2 linked regions of the Sus scrofa genome follow. The protein of the gene in region 2 purifies or fractionates together with the protein of the main gene of each other region. This does not show direct contact. Links are inferred from orthologs where the notes say so. Each region holds a gene or a part of one and is shown on either strand. Other genes may lie near its edges.

Region 1 (4,469 bases), on a different chromosome or scaffold from region 2:
GCCAGTTGGCCTGAAAGGTGATGACAAATATCCATTAACTAACAGTGCCAGATCTCCCATTCTTATTCCAACCCTCTACTACACAACCAAAAACTTCATTTTTGCCCAGAAACCACTGGACACTTAATCAAATAACATTAGTATAAAACATGCCATGTCATGAAGCTCCTTGCTATTCATGATGACTCAGCAGCTGCTGCAAAACATAGAGGTGACAGCCCAGGAAAGCTGACAGCAAGCAGGTAGTCCATAATCCACAAAAGTTCCAGTAAGCACTAAAGAAAGTCTTGAAGATTTTAAAAATCGTTAAATTAAATAGAATATTCTTTTGTATATTCCCAGATACTTTTCTTTGGTAGTATCTGCCAATACTAACACAATGTATCTGCAATGTTAATCAAGAAACCGCCAAACATCTTTAATCCCAATTCAAAACCTAAAAATGTTCTTTCTTTTTCAATCAGATGGCTCACGCAAATAGCTGAAAGTATTTCAGAGAGGGCGACATGATAAATGATCAAGCTCTAACACAAAACTGCAGAGTCTGAAATCCTATCAGCTCTAAGACAATTTGGATCATAGGTGTTAAATGTTGTTAAGGCATCACCTTCCCCCAAATCAGATTTTTCTCTAAGTACATTTAAAAATAAAGTGCGGTTATAGTTTTTGCTACCTGGAATATATGAGTTCTTCTCTACACTCTGCCCACATCATCCAGTGATCTGTATTTACAACATATCATTTTTTTATGTAGAAACTTTAAGGAGATGTAAGAAAGCACTGAAAGACATTTATTCCTCAGGAAAAACAGAAAGCATGTGTCTAAATTCCACTCTCCAAAAGGATTAGGTTAAATGGCCAGTCCTGTGACCTGAATTTTAATCTCAAATCTGTCTGCAAGTACCCCTGCTCCTCACAAAGAAATCTAAAAACCAAGCACTCCTGGTATATATCTGGGGGACAACTGGTGGTGGGAGCTAACAATAATGCCAAGGCTTATAACCATTAGTAGAAAGATACTTACTATTATAACCCAGTTTTTACTGTTAAGAAATTTCTCCCAAATCTTTATTTTTAAAATTCTGTTTTTTCATGATACAATTTACCACCACTAAACATGTCAAAGTGCTCATATTCATTATCATCCACAACACAGCAATCTAGGAAGTCTGCCTTCAACAGGACGCAACAAGTTTTCAGACCCTTTTGCCATACTTTAGTTTTTTTACAGGTTTAAGACATATACTTCCCACCGAGAAATTTTAAAGGGCCTTTTATTAGAATATTTAACATTTTCCTACTCAATTCCCATAACAAACAATTAACAGCTAAAAAGCAGAATTTTCTCAGACTCTAACATCTCAGTTACAATTAGACTAAACCCCTGTTCATAATTTCGAGCGCCCACGAGTACACAAGGTGACTAAATTATAAGACCACCAATATTCCTAGACTATTAAAAAGTACCTGAACTTCCTAAAGTACGTCCCATAATATTAAAATATTTTGTGCATGAGATGAGAACTGGAGTTCCGGTCAACTGTGCGCAATGGCCAATTCTAGCCTCCAAAATAAAAAGGGGAGGGGTGGACATAGTGGGGAGGGAAGAGTCTTGCGACGGAAAAAAGACGTAAGTGCGGAGAGGGACTTTCAAAATGCCCCGGTGCCACTAACTATAACCCGGTTAAGAAAACAAAAATCTAAGTCAACGCTCTCAGATCGGGAGGCACCCGGGAAGGGGAGATGGAGAATTAACTAATAGGTTGAGAGTAACTTCTTCCACTTGCCGTTTAACAGCGCCCCCCACCACCACCAACCCCCGGGGGCCCCAGAGGCCGATACCCCAGGGCAGCCCCCTCCCCACTCACGCTGAAACGCGGGAGACTAGAAAATATCAAACGTAGGGGCCTCCAGCCACATCTTTTCCTTTCTCCCATCCAGAAGACGTGGGTAACACCCTCACACCCCCAATCCCCGCCAAAAACGAAAGAATCCTAGGCCCGTCGTGGCCTAGGATTTCTGTTCCCGCCCTGCGCCGGTCGGGGGAAAGCCCCAGGCTAAGAGGGCTGGGGAGAGGCGGCCCGAACCACACGTGTGCGCCGCAAGATTGGCCTGTCTCAGCCCACTTCCCGTCGCCACCCCAGCGGCCCGAGCTCCCGCCGCCCTGCTCGGGCCTTCGCTCAGGCCCTCCCGTCCGCTCCACGTGGGGCCCCGGACCCCTCACGCCCGTTCCCTCCCCACCCCAGTGCCCGACCCGCTAGGCCCCGAGGCGCCGGGGTCCCGTACCTGGTGCTGTTGTCGCCCCTGCTGGTAAGGCTTAATTGGCCCCTGGTGGCAACGCCGCGTCCGGATCTTGCCGCCACCGCCCCCTCCTAAGCCTCCGGCTCCCGAGGCCATGGCGGAGCCTCCGCGGCTTCCCCCTGAGGAGCGGGTTAGGGGGCGGGAGAGGCAGAGGCGGCCTTGAGGCCCCCCCGCCCGGCCCCAGCCCAAAAGTCCGTCCGCGCTGCCCACACAGTGGGTCACAGGCACACCAGGAACCGCGGGTCTGCGAGCAGGAGCCGAGAGAGAATGCGCGCTGGCGGCAGCGAAGGGGGTGGCGGCGACACAGGCCGAGGACCTGGCTCCCGTCCGGCAGCCTCCCGCGGACCCCCGCCTCTGTGTATGTCACCGTCTCTATGGAGATTCTCCGCGAGGACAACACAAGAGGTTCCAAGCGCTGCTTAGGCCTAACGCGACCGCCGGCTGACGGGGATTCTTCTTCCGTCGCCCTAGCCGTAGCTGCCGCAGTTGAAGCCGCCGGCGCCGCCCGCCTACCCCTCCCCTTTGCGCACAGCGCCCGCCCCGCCGTCGTCGTCGTCGTCCCTGCAATCGCCGCTGTTGCGTCTATTACCGCTACTAAGGCCGCCGCTGCGGTCGCGAGCCAGGACGCCGTCACTAGTCAGCGCGCGACGAGTTTGCATCATCACGATGTGACCAGGTGATAGGCGGGGAGGTGGGAAGGGCTAGTCGAGCCCGCGCTCTCAGCCGCGCGGGCCGCTGGGAAACGTAGTTCAACGGAAGGAGGCGCGTGCTCAGAACGGAGGACGCGGAAGGAGAGCGGCGGTTCCCTGCAGAGGCACAAAGCCAGGGGTTCCGTTCCTTTTAACTGCTCTTGATTCTAAACTTTGAAAGAGGCATTTAACACAAACGGTAACCTCCTTCCCACTTTCCTTCTCTGGAATGGTAAAGCGGGAAGAAAGTAAGCACATAGTAAAATCACAGAGAGAAGCTAACAATATCTTATAAAAAGAAAAAAACTGGTTGAAAAGACAGTGTCTATGATCTTTAAGCCTAAAACAGAATTAGCAAATATATACAGTTTCATTAATGTCCGTTACAATAAGGGCTTTGTTGTCAAACACACAAGTGCTGTCTGGCTCCACCACTTAAGTTTGACCTTGAAGTCAAAACCTTCCGCCCCTATAAAATGGGAACTTTAAAATCCAGCTTATACAGCTGTTGCGATCATCTACGTGGAGCACTTAGTGTATTTCCTGGCATGCAAGAGATGCAATAAATGGTTACGGTGATCACCTACAGCAGTCAAGCTCACGTTAGAGGTAAGCCGTATATTACCAGTAATAAAAGTATACATATATTTGCTCCAAATAGAAGGCATTATATTTAGCAAAGTGAAAAGTGAGTTAGGCTCAAAGACTTAATCCACAAAGTATAGCGATTTTTAAAAGTTGACCGTTAGAAAGATCTGGGTGATCACGTGCGCCAGCCCTCATTCAACGGACAAGACGGGGTTCCGGAGAATTTAGTCGACATATTGGAGGACACTGAACTGGGCAGTCAAAGCCAGGACTATAACCCAACTTTTCTGTAGGAGTTGAAACAAGTAACCAAGTGATTAGAAAGAAAATCTACTTCTGTGAAAACACATGGGCTTAATGTTCCATTTGAGACAATTGATTTTAAAGCTTATAAATAGCTTTGGATTCAAATAAACTTAATTTTAAATCTATCACTTACTAGCTGTGTAGCCTTGGGTAAGTTACTGATCCTCTTTCTACGCTTCAGTTTCCTCATCTGCAAATAGAATGAATATTAACCTCAACAAGTTGGTGGTTCTGGTGAAAGGATTAATATACATAATTCATAATAACTGCTTAGACAGAAAGCATCTAATATCATCCAGTTATCTGATACAAATAATTAACCTCAAGACTTTTATACCATCTCTACCACCAAATTGCATGATTCCAATCGCTATATAAATCATATAAGTCAAAAGGTGAAGCCAAACTTAAGCAGTACCTTAGAATTTGCAGCATCTTCCAGCATAGGCTGACAGAACAAATGGCATCTCTGACCTTATCACCACCAAGACTATAAAAAGTTCCCAAATATGATGGACAAAATTAATCTACTTCCTTTTGTGCTTCCATTTTATACCTTCATGCCCCAACTCCACCACTAACTTC
Region 2 (4,361 bases):
CCATTTTTTAATAATATGTAGCCCCCATTCCTGTAAAGATTCACAGCTGCATTCCTATTTCCCGTTCCGGGATCTCATTTAACCACTGAGACTCTGGAACTCTTTAACATTCTCACTTATTACACCTACTGACAGTACTTCAAAGAACTCTAGTAAGGGGATCTTGGAGCAACCACACTTGGCTTCTAGAAACCACATTAACACCAATCCATGTAATTACAGATCTACTGTTATAACCTTTGCAAACATCTGTCTTCCATTGTAAAGTTCTTACCCCCTGCAACCCAGGAGACCCCTCTTACCTGCCAACACACACCAATTATCTACCACAGCACTAACTGAATGGAACTAAGAAAGATTTCCAACACTTGGGGGATTCAACTGTCTCTGATGCTTTTGCAAGGTGGTATTATTCTCCATTGTTTTTAAAAACTTCATCAGTTAATCAATTTTCTTTTCTCAGCTTTGTCACCCTTTTGTTGGTAAACCAAACTATTTCTTAGGAATAAGATCTTTTCAGCACCAATATGTACTCAAATATCAATTCCAGGAAAATATATTCATAATTTATACCCTGGGCAATAAAAATAACTCCCACTTACTGCCGTGTTCTTCTCTGCAGTTTATATTTGATAAATTTATTGCATTACATATGTCACTTGGCTTGGCTTCCTTTATAACCAAACTCCCTTTCTTAAAAACAGTATCTGCAGAATCCAACATGGTTAAATGCAAGCAATTCTTCTAAACATAGCACATTTATATTTCAATGCAGTTCTTTTACAGTATTTAGAAAAATTGAGTTTATGAGATGGCTTTAACATAATACAAAGAAGAAAAACTAGTCATAAAAACAATGAATACAATAACAGGTGTTGATAAAGGAAATATTTACAGCCAGCGTCATATATATTTTTACCAAGATCTTATTCTGCTCACAACATATAATGATAATAAGCTTGATTACTTTAAAAATAGTTTTATAGATATTTCAGTGGAAGGAATTTAATAATTCCCTGTATATTTACAAGACAATGTAATCACATCAAGGCTGATTTGGTGGCGGTCCTTTTTAGGAAAAAATGGAGCACTAATAATTCTTTAGGTTCGCATTAAATTAGGTAAAGTAAACATCATACTGCCAAACTGTTATGCATTTATGTATTGCATAAGCTGGGAAGTAAAACAGAAATCTGCACTTTCAAGCTCATATTTTTCTTTTGCAGTTGCAAGTTTTCAACTTGGCAGAGCAATTCTCTAAGAAGAACGGGGCGCAGGACAGGGTAAAAGTGGAAAACAGAATGTTTCTAAAAAACTGAATTCGCCCCTGATTCACTCATACAACATTTATCATTCTACTATGAAAGATGTGATTAAACAAGAAAACTTAAGATGCAAAAAGAACTTCTGTTATCCTAAAAATAAGCATGTCAGCACAGCCATTTTACAACCTTACATTCAAGTACCTACTACAAGATTCAACTTGTACTTTAAAAACATCTTTCAAGTTAAAAAAAAAAAAAGCACTCTTCATACATTCATTGTCAAAATCAATTTGCGGATAGTTTCCAACTTTAAATTTCTGTATTTTTAACTGCTGAAGGGCAGAATTGATTAGTAATTGTTAAGATAACGGACTTAAACTATAAGCAATCCTTGCAAACTCCAGCTGATTTTTAAAATCAGGAAAAATAACTGGCAATTGTTCTTAAAGGAAAAAGGCCACTCCCAAAACAGGTTGATTGGGGTAGCGGGTCCGCTTTTCAGTAGCAGTTCCCTGTTGCGTGTTCGCGTGGGTGAAGTACAAAAGGGTAGAGGCGCAAAAAACAAAAAACAAAAAAAAAAAACCCAAGAAACAAAAAATAGAAACCCACGCAAACCCCTCACAGTTACAAACATTAAAATTACGTAAACATGCTGTGAGGCCGTGAGGCCCCAAGGGAGAACAATCGTCTGGAGAAAGCGACCAGGCAGCTAAGTGTGGAGGCCATGGAGTGTGCTGACCCGGGACACCCGGGCAGAGGGGCCGACGGGGACAAAGACCAGGCATCCCGGGCGGCGCCCCACTGTGCCCAGAACCGGCGGGAAGCAGTTGTTGTGGGGCAGCGACTGCGGCACCCAGGGCCCTGAAACGCCGCGGTTTAATGGTCGGGAGCAAAAGCTCCCCGGGGAACCGACCCTCTTCCTGGCGCCCCTAACGGGTTTCAGGCTCCGACCTCAAACACCTGAGGAGCCGCCGCCCGCCCCTTATCCGTATCCCGAAGGACGTCCGGGCCGCAGCTGTTGGGCTCAGAACCGCGGCGCCGCCGCCGCCGGGCTCCAAACGGCCGGGTTGACACCGGGAAGGCAGCGGGTCCACTGTCTCTCCCCGTGGCGCGTCAAGGAGCTTCCCAACAGCTTGCCTCCTCTCCCGCCCTCTAGTCCGGGACCGCGAACCCTCACGCCACCTACCCGGTCCCACACCATCCCAGAGGCCTCCGGCGTTCAGACCCTCTGCCGAAGCGGCGCTGCCTCCTGTCCCGGGCCTGAAATGGCTGCGGAACAAAGAGAATCTGGGCTTCGGCGAGCGCCGGTCCGATTGGACAGGGGGCGGGGCTCGCCGCGGGAACGTTCGGCGGCGGTCGCCTTGGCAACGGCAGTCGGGCTGGGAAAACCGCGGTCTCGGCCTGCGGGGCCTACGGACCTACGCCCGGCGGCGCGTGGCAGCGGTTTCTAAGTCTGCGCTGCGGCCTCGGGCCTGGGCCTGATGCCGGGCTCCCGCTCGCGCCCCCTGCAGCCGGCGTGCCGGCCGCAGCCTCCGGCTCACGGGAGGAGCCGCCGCGGACGCTGCTCTGCGCTGTGAGGCCTCGACCAAAATGGCCCTGTAAGTGTGGCTCCCTAGGGCTGTCGAAGGCCCTCCTAGCACGACGACCCTCCTCTAGCCTAAATTCCATACCTCAGGACCACCTCCAAAGTGACAGCCTTGCTCTGGGAGCCTATTTCACACTGAACACGCCGCATGTCCCACAAAAATACAGTTCCATCGTCGCTGGTAAAAAGCAGAAATGGCTTCAATGGATAGAGAGTGGACGGCTGCCCGCTAATATTGCAGGATAGGCTTTTGAGGTATGCTGTGTCTAACATATCAACTGCTCTGTAGGGAAAATTAAATGACTTTGAAAATTAGGTTTTACGTCTCCGGGTGTGTATTCAAATTGGAGAAGTTTCTTGCTCTTGGAAATAACAAGTACTCCTCTCCGTAACCAGCCATCATGAGAAATTAAAATGGCTTATTTTCTGAACAGAAAATAATTCAAAATGGAGAGGTAGACGTTTTTTAGAGTAATTCATAATAATGGAAGTGAATAGATAAATATCAGTTCTCTTCCCCGACATTATTCTTATAAATACATTTACTATATGAAAATTTTAAATTCGCATAGCTACATCATTATTTCCTAAGGTGATGATGCCGCTGATAGTCTTCCTCCCATGGTCAGTGTGTGTAAAAATACCGGTAGTCTTGACTGACTTTCCAACTTGCAAGTGCTGTATCTATTATGTTTTGAAAATGTGTAGTGGTTGTTGCCTTCCAGGAGTATTCTAGATAAAATTATAGCACCAATACAAGAAAGTGTTTTTTATACTAAGACATCATGTTAATAACTGTTAATTATTTTCATTTACCACAATCATTTTACAAAAGAACTACTTAAATTTTGGGTCTAGAAGGACCATTTCTATCATTAGGGAATTGAACATAGCAAAAAAAAAAAAATTTTAAATAACTAAAATGTTCATAAATATGATTTCAACATTTTCTAATGTTAATTCGATAGCAATTGAATACAAAAATGTACAGCAAAAAGAGGCTTCCCAAATAGGAGTGGATTACCAAGAAAAAAAATTAATGTAAACCTTCCTAAATGGGAGTTTAGTATAACTGAAGGGATATTTATCTAGAATATGTGTATTTATCCAAATAACAAACAGGGTTTAAATTTAGCATTTGAAAAGTTCCATCATGGTATAGGGAGCCTTGTTTTGTACAAATTGGGGTGTGTGTGGTATCTTCAACTTTACTGAAGAAAAATGACAAGAAAACTTTGTAAATGTATAAGATTAGCAAATAATGACAGATGTAAAGAACTACTGATTAAGCCATTAGTAAGAAATTCACCTGATTAATTGTTTGGAAATCGTTGAAATGAATTGATGAAAAGCAAGTATTATTTAGTGTATGTAAGAGGATTTATTGGCTAAAATCTTTTGAAAGAAAAAATATTGATTACCAAATGTTTTGAAATCGAGAGGCAAATTAAATAACCATTCTTTTATAAAATTTAAATGAAAGGGAATTAAAATTTTAATATAAATCTGCA

Evidence for each region.
Region 1: the proteins of TNPO1 (region 2) and NUP153 purify together in Homo sapiens (co-immunoprecipitation; 3 studies listed by BioGRID and IntAct, with this or other methods). This does not show direct contact. The link is inferred for Sus scrofa from reciprocal best matches to the Homo sapiens genes TNPO1 and NUP153.

What each region holds. Positions count from the first base shown.
Region 1 is NC_010449.5:13,463,611-13,468,079, forward strand, and holds the start of NUP153 (nuclear pore complex protein Nup153), read right to left. Parts: upstream 2,968-4,469; 5' UTR 2,398-2,967; coding exon 2,287-2,397; intron 2,169-2,286; exon of another isoform or gene 1,938-2,168; coding exon of another isoform or gene 1,869-1,937; intron 1,806-1,868; exon of another isoform or gene 1,468-1,805; intron 1-1,467. UniProt on the Homo sapiens protein: Component of the nuclear pore complex (NPC), a complex required for the trafficking across the nuclear envelope. Functions as a scaffolding element in the nuclear phase of the NPC essential for normal nucleocytoplasmic transport of proteins and mRNAs.
Region 2 is NC_010458.4:49,047,190-49,051,550, reverse strand, and holds the start of TNPO1 (transportin-1), read right to left. Parts: upstream 2,866-4,361; 5' UTR 2,467-2,865; coding exon 2,452-2,466; intron 1-2,451. UniProt on the Homo sapiens protein: Functions in nuclear protein import as nuclear transport receptor. Serves as receptor for nuclear localization signals (NLS) in cargo substrates.